5 linked regions of the Cricetulus griseus genome follow. The protein of the gene in region 1 interacts with the protein of each later gene in a biochemical or structural test. Links are inferred from orthologs where the notes say so. Each region holds a gene or a part of one and is shown in the gene's direction. Other genes may lie near its edges. The genes, in order: Dnm2, Grb2, Sh3gl2, Snx9 and Itsn1.

Region 1 (4,244 bases):
TGAGTTCAACACTATCCTGGTCTCCAGGACAGCCTCCAAAGCCACAGAGAAACCCTGTCTCGAAAAACAAAACAAAACAACACCACAAAAAAGAACACTTTTTGCTCCTGCAGAGGATCTGGGTTTTGTTCCCAGCACCTACACTGTGGTTCACAGCCATGCAGAATTCCAGTCCTAGGGGATCTGACACTTCTGATTTCTGCGGGCACCAGGCACATTATGTGGTGCACATAAAAATAAAATAAATATTTTAAAACGTTTCAATATTTTATGTAAAATTTTAAGATTGATTTATGTAACAATTTTTTATGTACAAGGGTGTTTTGCCTGCATGTAAGCATGTGTATCATATTTGTGTCAGATCCTGTGGAGGCCAGAGGAGGATGTCAGATTCCTGGAACTGGAACTACTGATGGTTGTGAGCTGTCATGCAGGTGCTGGGAACCAAACTCGGGCCCTCTGCAAAGGCAGCAAGCACAAAGCCATCTCTCTAGGAGCAATAGAAAAAAATTTTCTTAAGTAAAAATAAACCTAGGCTTATAGTCACCGGTAAAAGACTTGCTTAGCTTCATGAGGCTATGGACTCATCCCCAGGAACATTCAGGAACATGCGCGGAAGAACGAGTGGATTCAGACACCACACTCACAACCTGCTATGAAACTCATCTTCCACTGGCACTGCACTCTTCCAGAGCTGGCATCTGTGGTGCTTCCTAAGATACAAGTTTTCTCCCAGTGCCTAAAAACGCAGGCGTGATGATCACTGAACCTTTTCTCGAGGTGTGGCGCTTTCCAAGTACTGTGGCCCTCTGCTTAGAAAGAATATCACAAACTGACAACAAAAGCCAGGAAAAGCTGGGAAGAACTGACTGACAGACACTGCTGTCAGTCAGAATCAGGACATAGACGCTAGTAGCCTGTAATTCTAGCAGGAGGGATACTGAGACAGGAGGATCACCTCGAGTTTGCGGCCAACCTATGGTTCAGAAAGAGCAGAAAAAAAAAGGGTTGTGGCTCTCTTCTTTCATTGGTCAGAGGGACGAAGTGATATTTACATCAACCAATGAGAAAATTTTACGGAACTAACTAGTGTCAAGTGACAACCCTGTGTTTAAGGATCGATTCCTTACACCATTGGCAGGCTGACGTTTCCAGAGACCAATAAGACAACCCAGATCAACCTAGTGAGCAGAGGCTTCGCTGTCTTTACCCGAGACCCCGCCTTCCGGGCGTGACACCCCGGTTTCCACTTCTATTGGCTTTCTCATATTAGTGACAGTTCTACTACCCAATGAAGGTGAAAGACTAGTCCTTCCTCGTGCCTTTTCTACTGGCTCCCATTCTTGAGTGGCAGCATTCTTGACCAATTGGCATAGCATTAGGGCTCCTGGCTCCGCCCCGGAGGCCGGGCGGGGAGGTCGCTCGGGTCGGGTGTCGCCTGAGAACCGGATGAGGCGGCGACTGTGAGGCCGAGCCGTGAGCGGGCGTCGCGGCGAAGTGGAGCCCGGGCGGGCTGGTGGAGCGAAGCGGGAGGAAGCAACGGCCACAGACGCCTCGGAGCCGCGTGTCGTAGCCAGGGGAGCCGCGGGGCGGAGGCTGGCACCATGGGCAACCGCGGGATGGAAGAGCTCATCCCGCTGGTTAACAAGCTGCAGGACGCCTTCAGCTCCATCGGCCAGAGCTGCCACCTGGACCTGCCGCAGATCGCCGTGGTGGGCGGCCAGAGCGCCGGCAAGAGTTCGGTGCTCGAGAACTTCGTGGGCCGGTGAGCGAGCGCGCCGGCGGCAGTTCCCAGGCTCCCGCGGGAGGCCGGGCGGCGGGCGGGCGGCGGCCGGCCTAGGCGCGGAGGGCGGGCGGGGAATGGCGGAACTGCGGCTCGCGGACGTCGTAGCACCCGTGGCAGTGGGTAAGGTCTGTGGCAAGAGCGTCCGTGACTTTCCTCAGGGACCGGAGATGCAGACCCACTTCCGGACCTGTCTGGGGCAAGATGGCCAATGCAGATCCTTCTTGGTGCACTGAGTCCCAGCTATCGCTGGTGAACTGTGACATCGCATTGCCTGTGATCCAGGATAGATCCACTCTTTTCTCCTGCTACCTGTAAATCTTAGTGTGCGTGCTACTGAAGCTACACTTATCATCCAGCCCCCCCATGGGGGATGATCCCTGGGTCTGTCAGGCTGGTTATCTATGTGGAGCCTTCTCTGCCGTCTGGTTAGCTGTTTATTCGTTCTAGACAGGCTTCCTACCGGCACCATTTGGTTGTCCCATCTGTCCAGACCCACCCCGAAGTCCACTGTTGTCTGACTAGCTGTTTATGGTGACCTCTGGTGTGCAAATGCCCATCTGTGCCCTTTGCTTACCCGAGTTGGTCTCTGCCACCTGAACGCCTGAACTTTTAGGGGCCTCTGTTGTCTGGTTCTCTTGGGCCATTGGCTTCTGTCTTCCAAGTGAATCCGTTCCGTTAGTATGCCCTGCTGTTCATTACCGCCCAGTCAACTCTGCCTGTCCCATCCTCTCTGAGTGGGGGGGGGGGGGGCGGGGCGCTTGAGAAGAAACATTCTTTAGGATTCTTTCCTGGCCCAGGATCCTAGAGAAACTACTAGCTGGCTCCTAAGCTAAATCTTCCCGGTTGGAGAGCTCTCCAGACAGCTCTGGGAGCCTCAGCTTGTTCCATCTGTCCAGTGGGCAAATTCCACTTGCAGCTGTTTCTATGATCCAGGAAGTGAGTGAAGGAGGGATGTTGATTTACTCCTATCCCCTCCCCCGCTGCTTTTCACACAGCACCACTTCTCCATTCCAGGAAGTGTTCCATGTATGATGCTGTGGTGTGTGCCCAGTGATAATCTTTGCTTTGCTGTGGACATTATTGTGCCTGTGTGTGTCCGTGTGTCCAAGTGTGTGCCACAGTGCACTTGTGGAGGTCAGAGAACATCATCTTTGTGCAGTCCCTCATTTATGTGGGTCCTGGGGATCAAACTCAGGGCATCAGACCTACATAGCAAGCAAGCCCCTTTGCCCATTGAGCCATATCATTCATTGTCTTTTCATCTGAATGTGTAGCTTTGGAGCCTATCCTGGCACTTGCTCTGTGGCTCAGGCTGACCTTGAACTCAGAGATCCACCTGCCTCTGCCTCCCGAGTGCTGGGATTAAAGGTGTGTGTAGCCACTGCCAGGCTCCATCTGAAATTTTTGAGACGTGGTCTGAGTCTGAAGCTCACGGAGCAGCTAGACTGGCTGGCCAGTGAGCTCCAGTGTATCCACCTCTCTCTGCCTCACCCTAGCATTGGGTTACACAGACACACTCTCTCTCTCTCTCTCTCTCTCTCTCTCTCTCTCTCTCTCTCTCACACACACACACACACACACACACACACACACTCCCTACTTCCTTCCCTCCTTCTCCCTAGTGCATGTTGTTGTTGTTGACAGTCTTTTGTGGAAGGAGGAACATCTCTGAATTTGAGGCTATGTTACTCTACATAGAGTTCTAGGGTAGACAAGGCTATACAGTGAGACCCTGTCGCAAACAAACAAACAAACAAACAAAAAACCCATATAGGTTGGTTCAAGGATGTACTTGGATGTTGGAAGTGTCGATTTAGGCTAAATTAGATGTACCTGTGATCTTAGGTACTCAGGAGTCTGAGGCAGGACAAGGTTTGAGTTTATGGTCACCTTGGGTTGCATTGTTAGATCTTGTCTCAAAAAAAAGCCAGGAGTGGCTTGTGGTTGTAGCTCAGGCATAGAGCAGTTGCCTTGCATGAATAAGGCCCTAGGGGTTAGTCCTTAGCATTAAACCGATAATAAATATTATTGCCATTTATGTTCTCTTTGATTGCTTCATACTCAAAGAGACCTTTGTAAGACTGTGGCTTTTAGGTACTGAATTTTTTATGTATATGTACATACACCTATTTTTAATTAATTTTTTTAGATATAGTCTCACTCTCTAGACCAGGCTGGCCTTGAACCCACAGGGATCCACCTGCTTCTGCCTCCTGGGTGCTGGGATTAAAGGTATGCACCACCATTCCTCTATTTTTCAAAACAAAATTTTGAGACAGTCTCATACTATATAGTCCAGGCTGACCTGGAACTCACCATGTGACACAGGTTGGCCCCCAGAAGTGTAATAATCTTTTCCTGCTTCCACTTTCCAAGTGCTAGGGTCACAGGCATGTACTGCCATGCCTGGCATTAAGTTCTTTTTGCTCTAGAATGTCTTAAGGCCCCTGGGCTGAAG
Region 2 (2,692 bases), on another chromosome or scaffold:
GTCTTGCTCCATTGCCCACGCTGGGAACTGGGTGTAGCAGGTGTGGGTTTCAGGGTTCTGTTAACTAGCATCATGGCGAATGAATGAATGAATGAATGAATGAATGAATGAATGAATGAATTGCCTGACTGGCCTTGAACTTTCCATCTTCCTGCCTTCACTTTTGTGTAGTAGGAATATCAGGCCTCCAATCTAGGCACCAGAACAAAGTTATGCTTTTTGTCTAAATGGCCTCAAACTCAGGGATTCACCTGCCTCTGCCTCCCGAGTGCTGGAATTAAAGGCGTGGACTGCCACAGCTGGCTTGCAGTATTTTTTTTTTTTTTTTCAAACTCAGTGTAAGAATAGTTTCCTCTTGCAACCAGGACTTTTGAAGGTCTTTTTGTTTGTTTGGTTTGGTTTTTCCAGACAGGGTTTCTCTGTGTAACAGCCCTGGCTGTCCTGGAAGTCATGTGATCTGTGAGCCAGGCAGGCTGGCCTTGAACTCAAAGAGATCCACCCGCCTCTGCCTCCTGAGCGCTGGGACTGAAGGCGAGCGCCACCTGGCTTGAAGCTCCTGGCCAGACACATGTGCGGATGGCTCTGACAGCATGTGGAGCTGGGCTTGTAGAATTACCATTTTATGCTTCAGCAGCTTGTGTGTCATCTGCTTTTTTGGCCTCTGCTGCCCCTAGTAGCAGTAAAACAGCTTAGGAAGGAGAAAGAAGTAACCAACCAGTGGGTAGCAACAGACCCTGCTCTGTGCGTTTCCTGAAGATGCCCTTAAGGCCAAGCTGTTCCCTTCCATCAAAGGAAGTCTTGTAAGGGATGGAGACCTAGCCCAGTGTGTGTGAGGTCTACGAGAGCTAGTTCCAGGACAAGCCTCCAAAGCCACAAACTCTCCCCCCCCCCAATAAATAAATAAATAAATAAAACTTTAAAAATTAAACTTTAAAAAAAGTTAATGTGCTATCACTTTAGGAATAAAATAAGGGGGAGGATAGAGTACCTACCTCACAAACATGAGGGCCCGAGTTAGGACCCATCGTGTAAAAGCTGGGGTAAAAGAGAGACAGGTATCCCTGGAGCCAGGAGGCCAGCTAGCCTGGCCTAATCAGTGAGCTGCTGGTTCTGAGAGAATATGGCAGAGACTTCCATCATTGACTTCGGTTTCCACACACATGCTGGCACACGTGCACACGGAGAGGTGGGCAGAGAGAGAGAGTATGAAATACTGCCTTTAACACAGGCATCTTCACAGAACCAAGGGCTTCACACGGCCTCAATCTCGGAGATGGTGCACTGGTTTCGAGATGTCAGAGTCTGGTTAAAAGGCCGTGGTAGAAGTGACCCTGGCAGTCAGTGACCTGCACTCTCCGGAAGCCAGGTGCAAACCCAGAAGGGCCCTCGACAAGGCCTTCGGATGTGCAGTCCTCTGCTTTCGCCAGCGCATTGGCTTCCAAGTGAAAATGTGATAATGAAGTTGTCTGACTGCTTTGGTCTTGCTTTCCTCCATTTCAGTTACCAAGATCAAGTGGAAACTGCAGAAATAACTCCTGGATTTTAAATAACTTAAATGATTTCATATTGCTGCAATGTGTGTCCATAGGGGAAACAGTGTATCTGGTTTCAGATTTGCCCTGAGTGTTAGTTAGGAAGCGCTAGTGTCCTGCCCCCCCTAGCTTGAAGCTCGGTGCTGCCTCCTGCTGGATTGTCTTCAGAATGCCTTCACCTTTTTTAAGCCCTAAACTGGAGAGACTCCTGGAAAAGATTTGAAGGCTTGGCAGTGATCAGGAAGCAAGGTCCTGGCTGAGTGACTGTCATGCCCAGGTGTCACTAGGGCAGACCCTGTGATCCGGCCAGCATCAGTAATCACACTTGTTAGCCTTGTTGTCAACTGATAAGAGTGTTTGTTTCTTCATATTTGGTTCTCGTTACCCTGAAAAAGAAACAGTATGGCAGTAACTCAATGGAAAGCATGGCTTTGGTGGCACACATGTCATCCCAGCCCTGGGGAGGCTGAGTCAGGAGATCACCATGAGTTTTAGACCTGCTTAGCCAGTTAGTGAGCTCAAAGCCAACCTGAGCGAGGGTTTGGATGTCACATGGCTTTTTTACCTGTAAAGCAGATAAGCTTGGACCTTCATTACTGGGCTGTGTGAGTAGATCATCAGGTGTCTGCAGAGTGAGACTAGTGGGTGGACTGCCCTCGTGAAGACTGTTCCTGGGGCCAGCAGTCAGGAGAGGTCTAGGGGAGGCTCCCGGAACAGTCCCCACTCTGTCCAGCTGAAGACTCGGTTGCTGTGCAGCTATCATGTCCACAAGTTCTGCAAAGCCACCCCAGGGACCCTCAGGACAGCCCTGCAGCTGGCTGCTTCATGCCATTCTCCTCCCATCCTCAGGTTTGGAAATGATGTCCAGCACTTCAAGGTGCTCCGAGACGGGGCCGGGAAGTACTTCCTGTGGGTGGTGAAATTTAACTCTTTGAATGAACTGGTGGACTACCACAGATCCACGTCAGTGTCCAGGAACCAGCAGATATTCCTGCGGGACATAGAGCAGGTGCCACAGGTAAGCCAGGGCCTCCGCAGCACCACTCTGTGCACCAGGCTGCCTTCATCCACACTGAGGATCTGCAGTTGTCAGTCAGGTAGTTTTGCCACCAGGGAGAAGTGCTTCCAGACCCGGGTGGGCTGTCTGCTCGAACCCCTGT
Region 3 (3,518 bases), on another chromosome or scaffold:
CCCCACAAGACAAAAGGAACCAGAAACTAAAGGCACTTCAATCCACTGTCACAACTCAAGTTTGGTTTAACTTCCTTGTTAAATAGTCTTGGCACTATTTTTTTTTTCTTCATCAGGATGTCCTTTATCTGGAAATGTATACGTTTGTTAATATGAATGATGGGCCAGGCTGATGTGGCCCTTAAATATTAGTTGTACTTTTCTTTAGCTAAAAATAAGTAGCTACTATGTCACTCTTAAGCACATTCATATGTTTTCATGATTGTTGTTGGAAATGAGAAGAAATAACCACTCTTTCTAAAACATGGAAAACAGTTGTGCTATTGCTAATAAATTCAACTGGCTTTGCCTCTGACTGGCTGTGAGTTCAAATGCTTTCTAAGAACACCCCTGCCTAAAGGAAACACACACACACACACACACACACACACACACACTTAAGAGTATGAGTTGAAGGTAGGAAATGTGGCCAGAGGGGGAGTTTCTAGAACATTGGCTGTCCCCTCCCTTCCCAGGCCTTTGCTGCTCCTGACTGTGCTGTCATTTTCTTCTGCCCTCATTCATACACACTAAGGAACAAGGGGAAATCATCCTTTTCTCTTCCCTATTAGTCATGGGATACTACAGCTGCCACAGGGGAAGTGCTATTGGTCTTTAAGGGAAAACAAAACAAAAGCAAACCTCCCTAACCAAGTCCCTAAAGGGGTTGGAAACCTTGTTGCAGATAATGCTGCGAGGGATCAAAAGTGACTTGAGGGGCATTTGATGAAATCTCTTCCAAGGTCCCTTGTAGTTTGCTTGGTGACTGACTTGTGTCACCTGTCCATGGAGAAGTTTTAACCTAAGTCATCTGCCCCCTAAAGGCCTCCTCTGTCAAATGGGGCACCTGTTGAGATTACTAGGCTCAGCCCTGGTTTTTCTGACTCAGGTAGTCAGGAATCTGCATTCTTAACAGACACATTAGGTGCTTCTGGTAAACTAGATTAGTAAAGAAAGAAGAAGTTCATTTCTTCGACCTTGAACTCAGAGAAAGGGGCTTTCCTCTGCTTTCTTTGAGATTCCATTTCTCTTGAGAAGATGACTCATGGGCTCTGTGTGTATCCTTTGCTTAAGGAGGAGTGTGGGAAGGATGCACACTCACATTTCCTTCTTGTCATTTGATGGAAGAGGCAAGTTTAACTTGATGTTGGCTTCAAATGCCAAATCCAATCTCTCCAGGGTTTCTCATTCTGAATTATTTGTAAAGATGTCACTGCACAGTTAGCCCTTTGCAGATGCATGTGTCCATTTCTCTGGTGACAAGCCATTTCAAACACAACCAGTCTCATTTTGGAGGCAACCAGGAATGTAAGGGAAATGAGGTACAAGCTGGCCTTTTCCATAATATGCCCTTTGGAAGCATACTCTTGCCCTTGACTTTTTCAGCATCACCTGAAAAAGTTGGAAGGCCGGCGCTTGGACTTTGATTATAAGAAGAAACGACAAGGCAAGATTCCAGATGAAGAACTTCGCCAAGCACTGGAGAAATTCGATGAATCTAAAGAAATCGCCGAGTCGAGCATGTTCAATCTCTTGGAGATGGACGTAAGCTGCTCTCCTTTGGGTTTTCCTTCAATTTTATCATGAAGGCACAGCATGGATGTGTTGAAAGATGATACATTGGGTAACATGCTACTGTCTGGTAACTCTAAATGATGAGAACACATAGATGACTGCTTCTTTTGAATAATTTGTCATAAACTAGGCATGGAACTTAATGAATTTTAAACTATTACCAATAGTGCAGAGATAAAGAATGCTTGGGATAACCCAGGTATAAAACCAGCATCTTAAAAACTACAGTTTAAATATAGAGCATATTGATCTGCAGCTAAGAATGACAACTAAAGTACATTCGGAATTTTGTATTCAAAATTATAAGGTGGTCAATATATGGAAGTAAGGTTGATATTTTCATTGAAAAAGTATACAAAATACAATTGATTATTATAGTATAGGGACTATGTTCGGGGAGTTGTTGGGACGTTTTAGAATTGTTTCTGCATCTCCAGAGTATTAAATTATCACTCCTGGCTTTGGACATTAAATTTTCTTGAGTTCTTTCAGCTATAAAGCTATCTGAACAGTCCTTTCATCCTTATTTCACACGTGTCGAGATCTGAAAAAACAGCTTTCCTGTTGTGGTTCACATCCACCTTTCAAATCCATCAATTCAGTTGCAACGTTTGCAGGATTTTACATACTCATCACTTGCATTGGCAAGGAATCTTCAGAGAAAACCACAAGGATATATACACAGGTGGTGTAGGTGTAGTATGTTTAGCTTGAGATCAGTAGGAAAGTTCAATCACCTATTAAGGAGATTATTGAGGCACAGGTGTCCCACATATACCTCTTGAAGTTTGGGGAACCAGAGAAGCTGGAAACATGGCTCAGGCCAATTCTAAAAGCCCAAGAATGGAAGGCGGTAATGGGCTAATTCATTCCGTATCCAGAGGCTAGAAAACCTAACAGAAGTGGAAAATAAACCCCAAGAATGGAGAGCTGAAAGCTCTGATGTCCAAAAGCAAGAGAAGCAGAATCTCTGGCCTCAGGAGAGAGGAGATTGAATGAATCTCTTTTGCCATTTTCTTTATTTGAACCCTCAACGGACTGGGCAGTGTCTACTATATTAGATATGCACAGCTCATTCTTTGTCCTTGGTTTCAAATGCAAATCTCCTCTGGGAAGCAGACTTGCCAAAGGGGCATGCTTTGCTAGCTTTTTGAGAATCCTTTAAATTAGCCATGTTGTCATCCAAAATTTTCCACCACATTATCTTATCAGCTTACCTCCTAAGAGATAGGGAAGACATATGGAACATGTAGTCCTCTTCTTCCAGAGACAGTGTGGGTTTGCCTACAGACAACTTTTGTCCTTCTAACTACTCAAGTGCAATACTGTAAGAAACTTGATCAGTATGTCTCCTTGTACCCTGGGTCCTCTTCCTACACCCTTCAACCCATAGGGACAGCATTCATTGCCCTTCTTGACTTGGAGGCTAGTACTCAGCTAATCCACAGCACAAGACACCCAAAAGTAAGGCTGCTTAAAAAATTAGATAATTAGCTTTAAATCCCACTTGGATCAAGCTAAGAGGTCAAAAGATTTATTTCATCCCATGGTACCTGAAGTGAGAAATCAATTTTCCTGTTTTTTTTTTTTTATTACCAGCAGTTATTAGAATGTAAAATGAAGCTCTGATTTCATTCATGTTGGCTTCTGGAGGCAAGAAACAGAGTCCTCTAGTCAGTGAATCTTTCTTCTCTAGGACCTCAATGAAAGAAGTTACATCCTATCCAGAAAGTTTATAGTTAAGCACAAAACTGTTTAATGAAAGCAATGAGACCTTCTCAAGGATGCTCATTGCTTCTCCTGATGTACTGCATGCAGGGTCCTAGGCATAAGAATCGTCTCATATTCTAAGTCAACTTAGAACCTGTAGAACCATTGTGTGTGTTCATGGCAGGCTGCACAGT
Region 4 (3,518 bases), on another chromosome or scaffold:
ATTTTCATTATTGAATTGTCGTGGGGCAGGTGTTGCAGTTTGGAGATTTTATTTACTTTTGTTTTATATGTATGTGTGTTTTGCCTGCTTGTACGTCTGTACACTGTGAGTGTGCAAAGCTCTCAAGGCCAGAAGAGGGATCTTGGATTGGATCTCCTGGAACTGGAGTTACAGACAAGTGTTAGCCACCATTTGTGTGCTGGGAACAGCCAATGCTCCTAACTGCTGAGCAGTCTCTCCAGGATTTCACTATGGAATTACATGAGTTCCCTGTATAGTTGGAATACTGACCCTTTTATCACATATGGGGGGTCATAAATACATTCTCTTCCATCTGTAAACTGTGTGTTTATTTGCTGAGTATTACTTCCTGTGTTGTGCAGGAGCCTGTTGGATTGATGTGGTCCTACTTGGTATTTTTGCTTTAGTTCCCTGACTTCAGTGTGACACCTAAACACAGAGCTAAGGGCATGTCAGGGGATTTTTCTCGTCATTATCCTCTGGTTTTATGGTTTGTGGTCTTACATTTAAGTAATTGATTTTCTGTTGACATTTTTAGATAATGCAAAATAAGGGCCCAGGTTTTATTCTTGGGTGTGGACATCCAGTTTCCCTAGCACCTCTGACTGAAGAACCTGTCCATTGAGGCACTTCTAAAGAGTTTGTTAACCTGATTGCCTTGTTTAACTTAGTTAGGATTTGTCTTTTGCATAAAAAAAAAAAAAAGCCAAATCCCTAGGTCAAGCCTTGAGACTGACTGAAAAGCCTCTGTTCTTCATATCCACACAACAGTCAGCCCTGGACTCTGCTTTTCGGCTCCTTGAAAAGTGGCTAGCTCAAGAAGTTGTTACTCAAATTTAAGCAATCTCATTATATTTTCTTTCTTGCTAGCAACTGGTGATGATGATGAATGGGACGAAGACTGGGATGATCCCAAGTCCTCTTCATCTTACTTTAAGGATTCAGAGTCCACTGAAGCAGGGGGTATCCAGCGAGGAAACAGTCGTCCAGGTGCCTCTTCCATGAAGCTGCCCCTTAACAAGTAAGTTTATAGGGGAGCAGAGGATGCACACACACACACACACACACACACACACACACACACACACACACACACACACACACACACTACCCCCCCCCACACACACACACTGAAATGTAAGAGAAGTTTTACCTTTTTCTAATTAGTGATCTCCTGAATTTGGAGTCTTATATGCCCTTTGAATCATAGATTAGAAGCTGCTTTTGTCCCATCACAGGGTTAATGAGTGAAGTGTTTATTCAGTTACCATGCATGGCCCACAGCTGTAATCCCAACACACAGGCAGTGGAAGCATGAGAGTCTGAGGTCCATGACAGTCCTCAACTATAGGCAGCAAGTGTGAAGCCGGCTACCTTCAAAATGCTTTTCATCACTTTTACATCAATAAAAATAAGTATCACTAGGAAATATTTTTACATAAGGAAGCTAAAAATAATGTTAATAACAAGTCTCTTAATGTTTTACTGTTTTATCAATCACTTCCCATGTGCCGGGCATTGTGCAGAGTGGTTCGTGGGCACCCTTAGGTCCCTTTGTGGTGTAGATTCCTGTTTTACTACAGGGAAAACTGAAGCCTCTTCACATTCACACAGCTGGTAGGTGGGAGACTTAGGATTCCAGGCCCTCAGGACACAGAGCTTGTGATCCCAGACCTGCAGGATGTGTTTCACCTAGAGTTCTTTCAGCATAAGGAAAACTGCATTCGTGGAACTTGTAGATCCACTGCTTGTGAATGTGGACACAGCCCTGAGGGATTCTGGGTAGATCCACCCACTGCTTGTGAAGGTGGACACAGCCCCGAGGGATTCTGGTATGAGGAATGATGTCAGTGAACTCTCTTCTCCCAATAGTCATACAGTGTATCCCAAACTGCTATTCCTGTCTCGGTACTACAATTCAAAGTGGATTCAGAGGTTGTTAATCTGTGTCTGAATTGGTTTTATTTTTTGAAAGCCTTTGTTTAGCATATATCTAGAGATTAGGGTCAAGGTCTTGTACCTTGAGTAATGGGGCCTCCATAGTCTATCTAAATAGCAAGGGATTAATTGAGCTTTTAGACCACACACTTTCGTGTGTCTCCTGTTCCTTCCATCATAGTTTTTGTGCTCAGCTGGGTGTGTAATAAAATTAGTCATGGCCATCACTGCTTGCTTATCTCCCAGACTACAGACAGCGTCCTCACTAGGATTGGCTGTGGTGGGCATTGTTCCCAGTGGTTATTTCAGCCTAAATGTAAAATAAGTTTAAAGCCCTTTTACATGTAGTTTATCTCTTGGTCCTCTGAAAAGCAGAGACAACAAAACAAACAAGCAGCTGTAGTTTCCTGGCCAGCGCAGGAGTCTAACTCCTTCCCTACCTCTGCTCAGCCCTTGCTCCCAGGTTTGTACCGAGTCTGATAACCTGTTTCAATCCAGTCATCTCGTCTCTGAAGCAAAGAGGTTGGCTTTAAAGATTCTTTGTACTCTAAAATGGCATTCCAGGCTGAAATCAAACTAGGTCGGGCAAATTTGAACCTGTGCCTCCAAGACTTCTCTCTGTGGTACACGGAACGACCTACATATAGCCTTATATATTTTTAAGTACCCGCAGCTTTTCAACAATTCATTGATATGTTAGCTATAGTCTAGCTCTAGAATATAAACCTTGTGCCAGAAAAGGAAGCTGAAAATCTAAACATACTGGAGCATTGTGAGAACACATCTTGATAATGATAAAAAATTAATATATTATATTGCTGTTTGCCTAATAATTATTGACTCTGAATAGATGTGGACGTGTTAGCAAGTGGCCATTGCTCTAAATAGCCAACTCAAATTGACATACTGCATCCTGGGGTACAGAGAGACTTCTTTATGTCTGCCCGTCCCTCTGTTATTGGTAACAGCTTGTTAAGCAGGCAGAATACCAGTGAACACTACACCTGCTGGAGCCAATGCTTCCTTCCCCTGCTCAAGCTTCCCTGAGTGGCTAACTGGCCTCTGGGCCACCTGATTATACTTTATGGTTTTCATCTTAACGACAGAACAAGGTTAGAACTGGTGTGTTGAGGCCACGTGGTGAGAACTGTAGAATTTGTATGAGGAAGGACTGAGACTCACAGTACTTATGTTCATTATCAGGTTTCCTGGATTTGCAAAGCCTGGCATGGAACAATACTTGTTGGCCAAGCAGCTAGCAAAACCCAAAGAGAAAATCCCCATCATTGTAAGTTTGTTTGTTCTCATGAGTTTGCTTTATTTCTAATTAAAGTGTTTTATAACGCCTGAGCTAAGAAGGCTAGTCTTTTTGGAAGTGTTGTTAAGCATGCTTACACTGTCCCATGTTGATAACGTCATTAGGAGTGCTAAAACTAGTCAGTATAAGTTAATGATTGTCACTGCTTCTCAGTTTTCTCCATGTTTATCTTTCAACTATTAATGTTCAACCATCGCTTGTGCACTTTAAAACTTTTTCTCTTCTAAAATGTCTTAGACTG
Region 5 (3,518 bases), about 130 Mb from region 1:
AACCAGTGACCGATCTGACATCTGCCCCTATCCCCAAACTGGCTCTGCGTGAGACCCCTGCTCCCTTGCCAGTGACCTCTTCTGAGCCCTCTACAACCCCCAACAACTGGGCAGACTTCAGTTCCACGTACGTGTTAATATGCTGACTTTGACAGGTTTGACATCCAAACTTAGTCATCCTTTCCTTTTTCTTCTTTTTTTTTAAATAATTATTTACTTTCATTTTATATGCATTAGTGTTCTGCCTGCAAGTACATTTGTGTGAGAGTGTCAGTCAGATCTTGGAGGTACAGTGTTGACTTGCATATGGGTGCTCGGATTTGAACCCATGTCCTCTGGAAGAGCAGTCAGTGCCCTTAACTGCTGAGCCATCTCTCCAGCCCCTCTTCCTTCTTCTGATTTGTAGTCTTGAGTTGTTCACCTTTGAAAGGGAGATAGCATGTGTTCATGACCCCTTCCTCTGTCTGGTCTACTGACAAGTTGGGGTCCTTGGCCTCCAAACTAGATTTAATAATACCATTTCCAAACAGCGGTTTGCCAGCGTACAAAAGAAAGCCATCTGTATTTATCTGTATGTTTCATTTTGGAAGAAGAAATGGAGAAATGCAACTTCCTAATAATCTGTGTTGACAGTTATGTTGGTCAGCAGAATTTTCATTTACTTCCTGCAGGCTGGGAAATGACACGATTTCATTAGCAAGGAACAAAAATTGCAAGCAGTCAGGTGGTTTGGAATAAGACAGAAAGCAGTTTCTGTGGATGATTTCTGCTGTTGCTAACCTTGAGTAAATGGGCAGTGTAGAGAAGGGGACATGCCCCTGTCATCAGGAAATGGCATTCGGCAAGCAGCATGTGAGCAGAGGTTTCAAATGATAGATGAAGCTGCTGCCTGGACCCCCTTTTGTAGGTCCGTGGCCTACATGTGCACTTGTCCAAAAATATTCCCAGCTAATATACAGTAAGAGTAGGAGTAGGAAGGGCTTTACATCTCTTTTCAAATTAAATAACCCCTTAGAAGAAACGACATTCTTAGAAGAAAGGCAAGGCATCGAGGCTATTTTTAGAGAAGGACCAGATGAAACAAACAGGGGAAGAGAAGCAGAGTGGTGACTGAGGCCAGGAAGAACCACGGCTTTCCTCGCATGCATTGGAGGATAAAGGTTGAAGATGCTGAAGAATGCCCTCGGAGCCTCTGCTTAAGAAGCAGCTTTCTACCGGCCTGTGCTTTAAGCCAGACTAGCTCTACCTTTTTTGGTCTTGCTTGAAAAGCTCTTGACTTCCCAAAACAAAGCTCCAGTTAAGATATAGAATTGGTACCGTGGTTGTTTGCTAAGGTAGAGTCTCATATAGCCAAAACTAACCTCAGACCCATCTTGAGCGTCTACCAAGGCCTCCACCTCCCAAGTGCCTTACCACGCCTACCGTGTATGGTGCTGGGGATGAGTCCTAGGGCTTTGTGCATGCGAGGCGGCTCTAGTCCCAGCCCTAATGTCATGGTGGTGGTGGTGGTGGTGGTGGTGGTGGTGGTGGTGGTTTTGTTTCTTCTGTGAACCAGATCACTGTCTCTTTCTTAAGAGCTCTGTGGCGTACAAGTCTTCTGATGTACATAAAAGCATCTTTCCAAACCAACATCAAGATGAACAGTCTGGGGAGTGGGTATTTTGATTTTTAAATCTGCGTATAGTCTGATAAAGATATAAACAGCACATCACATTCAGCTCTGCACGCAAACACATAACCTTACCTAAAGGTATAAAACCACAAAATTGGGACTGTCCTGAGATGGGGCACCTCGCCTGCTAGGTGAGCCACTTGTGGTTACTGTGGCCTCCAGGCACCTGGCCAGGTGTTTGCTGTGGGGCACACGGAACTTGGCCGCCAAGCTGCAGTGTCTCCGGGTGCAACACTCAATTCCTTCTTACTTAGCTGCTGCTGTCATAGTCATTCTAGCACTTGTGGGTGTTTGCTGCCTACCGATCGAGGCGACCCTCACAACTAACCCAGACTGTCAGGGTGTTGTTCTAGAGAAGAACTCAAGATGAAAGAAAGAACAGTCTTCTAATCGGCCTGGGGAATGCTGCAGTGTGTGTAGCAGAGTCAAACCTGAGCCTGGCATTCTTTCTCATCCTCTTCTCAACTAGAGAAGCCCACATAAATGTCATCGATTTCTGTTCCCCCGGGGTGCCCTCCTTGTTTGTGTGGGTGTCCTGTAATGTCAGGACACTAGAAAGTGCTTACTGCTTATGACATGTGTTTTTCCTTCCAGGTGGCCCGCCAGCACAAGCGAGAAACCAGAAACGGATAACTGGGACGCATGGGCTGCTCAGCCTTCTCTCACGGTACCCAGCGCTGGCCAGTTAAGGCAGAGGTCTGCCTTTACACCAGCCACAGCCACTGGCTCCTCCCCGTCTCCCGTCCTGGGCCAGGTAGGGGCAGTTGTGGAGGGCGTGAAGACTGAGTGGTCTGCAGCTAGTGTTATTACACCAGCAGCTTCAGCAATGCAGGCTCTTGCCATGAAGCTGGGCTGGCTGGCTGGACCTAGTTCAGAAACCTGAGACTCAGTGTAAACCTCAGAGTTCAGAGGGCGTAAACTGTCCCGCCTGTGTCTAAGAAGCTTCATTGAAAAAGCAGCATCAGAGCTGCAATGATGATCGGTTAAAAAGGTACCGAACCTGCCATGAGGAGTCAGGGTGTTCATAAAGAAAACTCTGGGTCAGCCTATTTGACTACCCCTTGGTCCCTACTGAAAAAGGCAGACCAATTTCAGGTTAATGGGAGGCCCTGCTAAGGAACAGTATTTCTGAAAGTGTAGGGGTTGTTGTCATGAACCTTTCTCTTTATGTTAATGTAGTAATGATGAAGGAATGAGATTAATGAATCACACAGCAAATGCCCATCTGGGAGGCCCCAGGGGATCACAGGGGTTTTCTGTTCTGGAGATGCTTAAGTTGGAGGAGACACCGGGCAGATCCATGGGGAAATGGTTGGTATGCAAGAAGACTGGAGTTGCTGAGCGGCCGTGCTCAGCAGGGCACTTACGTGAAAGCCTAGAGCCTGCAGAGTCTCTGTGCCCAAGCCACGGAAACGGGAAGACACGGCAGGGTTGGGCAGAGGGAAAGGAGTGAGCCAGGTGAGGAAGGGAGAGAGAGTCTAGTAAGGAGGAGTTGAGTACACGGTGGTGGAATTGGGGCTGTCTGGCACACTGGCGGGACATGGCTGAGAGCAAGCGGCTGGCTGTAGCAAGCACCATGAAATCCAAGGGAGTGGACATGGCTGAGAGCAAGCGGCTGGGGCGAGGGAGGACGCTGCACGGTGTTCCTTTGTTTCTACCTACACTCAGCACCGAAGCGTATCCCATCGGTGCTCAGCCACCCAGGAGGTGCTGTGGGTGAGGCGTGAGTAAAACTGTGTAGGCAAGGGTGAGCTCTAGAACTCGGGAGGACAGAGGTGGTCGTGCTATCAGAGAGCACTCAGGACGGAGAAGAGGCCATCATGGATAGCGAGAGTCAACCTCTTGG

What was found.
Region 2: the proteins of Dnm2 (region 1) and Grb2 form a complex in vitro, tested with the Homo sapiens proteins (3 studies listed by BioGRID and IntAct, with this or other methods). The link is inferred for Cricetulus griseus from reciprocal best matches to the Homo sapiens genes DNM2 and GRB2.
Region 3: the proteins of Dnm2 (region 1) and Sh3gl2 interact in a biophysical measurement, tested with the Homo sapiens proteins (2 studies listed by BioGRID and IntAct, with this or other methods). The link is inferred for Cricetulus griseus from reciprocal best matches to the Homo sapiens genes DNM2 and SH3GL2.
Region 4: the proteins of Dnm2 (region 1) and Snx9 form a complex in vitro, tested with the Homo sapiens proteins (2 studies listed by BioGRID and IntAct, with this or other methods). The link is inferred for Cricetulus griseus from reciprocal best matches to the Homo sapiens genes DNM2 and SNX9.
Region 5: the proteins of Dnm2 (region 1) and Itsn1 form a complex in vitro, tested with the Homo sapiens proteins (2 studies listed by BioGRID and IntAct, with this or other methods). The link is inferred for Cricetulus griseus from reciprocal best matches to the Homo sapiens genes DNM2 and ITSN1.

The regions. Positions count from the first base shown.
Region 1 is NC_048597.1:134,285,781-134,290,024, forward strand, and holds the start of Dnm2 (dynamin-2), read left to right. Parts: upstream 1-1,437; 5' UTR 1,438-1,604; coding exon 1,605-1,765; intron 1,766-4,244. UniProt on the Homo sapiens protein: Catalyzes the hydrolysis of GTP and utilizes this energy to mediate vesicle scission at plasma membrane during endocytosis and filament remodeling at many actin structures during organization of the actin cytoskeleton.
Region 2 is NC_048600.1:128,242,625-128,245,316, reverse strand, and holds part of Grb2 (growth factor receptor-bound protein 2), read left to right. Parts: intron 1-2,381; coding exon 2,382-2,550; intron 2,551-2,692. UniProt on the Homo sapiens protein: Non-enzymatic adapter protein that plays a pivotal role in precisely regulated signaling cascades from cell surface receptors to cellular responses, including signaling transduction and gene expression.
Region 3 is NC_048595.1:62,452,297-62,455,814, reverse strand, and holds part of Sh3gl2 (endophilin-A1), read left to right. Parts: intron 1-1,425; coding exon 1,426-1,584; intron 1,585-3,518. UniProt on the Homo sapiens protein: Implicated in synaptic vesicle endocytosis. May recruit other proteins to membranes with high curvature. Required for BDNF-dependent dendrite outgrowth.
Region 4 is NC_048595.1:287,022,407-287,025,924, forward strand, and holds part of Snx9 (sorting nexin-9), read left to right. Parts: intron 1-891; coding exon 892-1,042; intron 1,043-3,162; coding exon 3,163-3,247; intron 3,248-3,518. UniProt on the Homo sapiens protein: Involved in endocytosis and intracellular vesicle trafficking, both during interphase and at the end of mitosis. Required for efficient progress through mitosis and cytokinesis. Required for normal formation of the cleavage furrow at the end of mitosis.
Region 5 is NC_048597.1:5,929,277-5,932,794, reverse strand, and holds part of Itsn1 (intersectin-1), read left to right. Parts: coding exon 1-127; intron 128-2,266; coding exon 2,267-2,426; intron 2,427-3,518. UniProt on the Homo sapiens protein: Adapter protein that provides a link between the endocytic membrane traffic and the actin assembly machinery. Acts as a guanine nucleotide exchange factor (GEF) for CDC42, and thereby stimulates actin nucleation mediated by WASL and the ARP2/3 complex.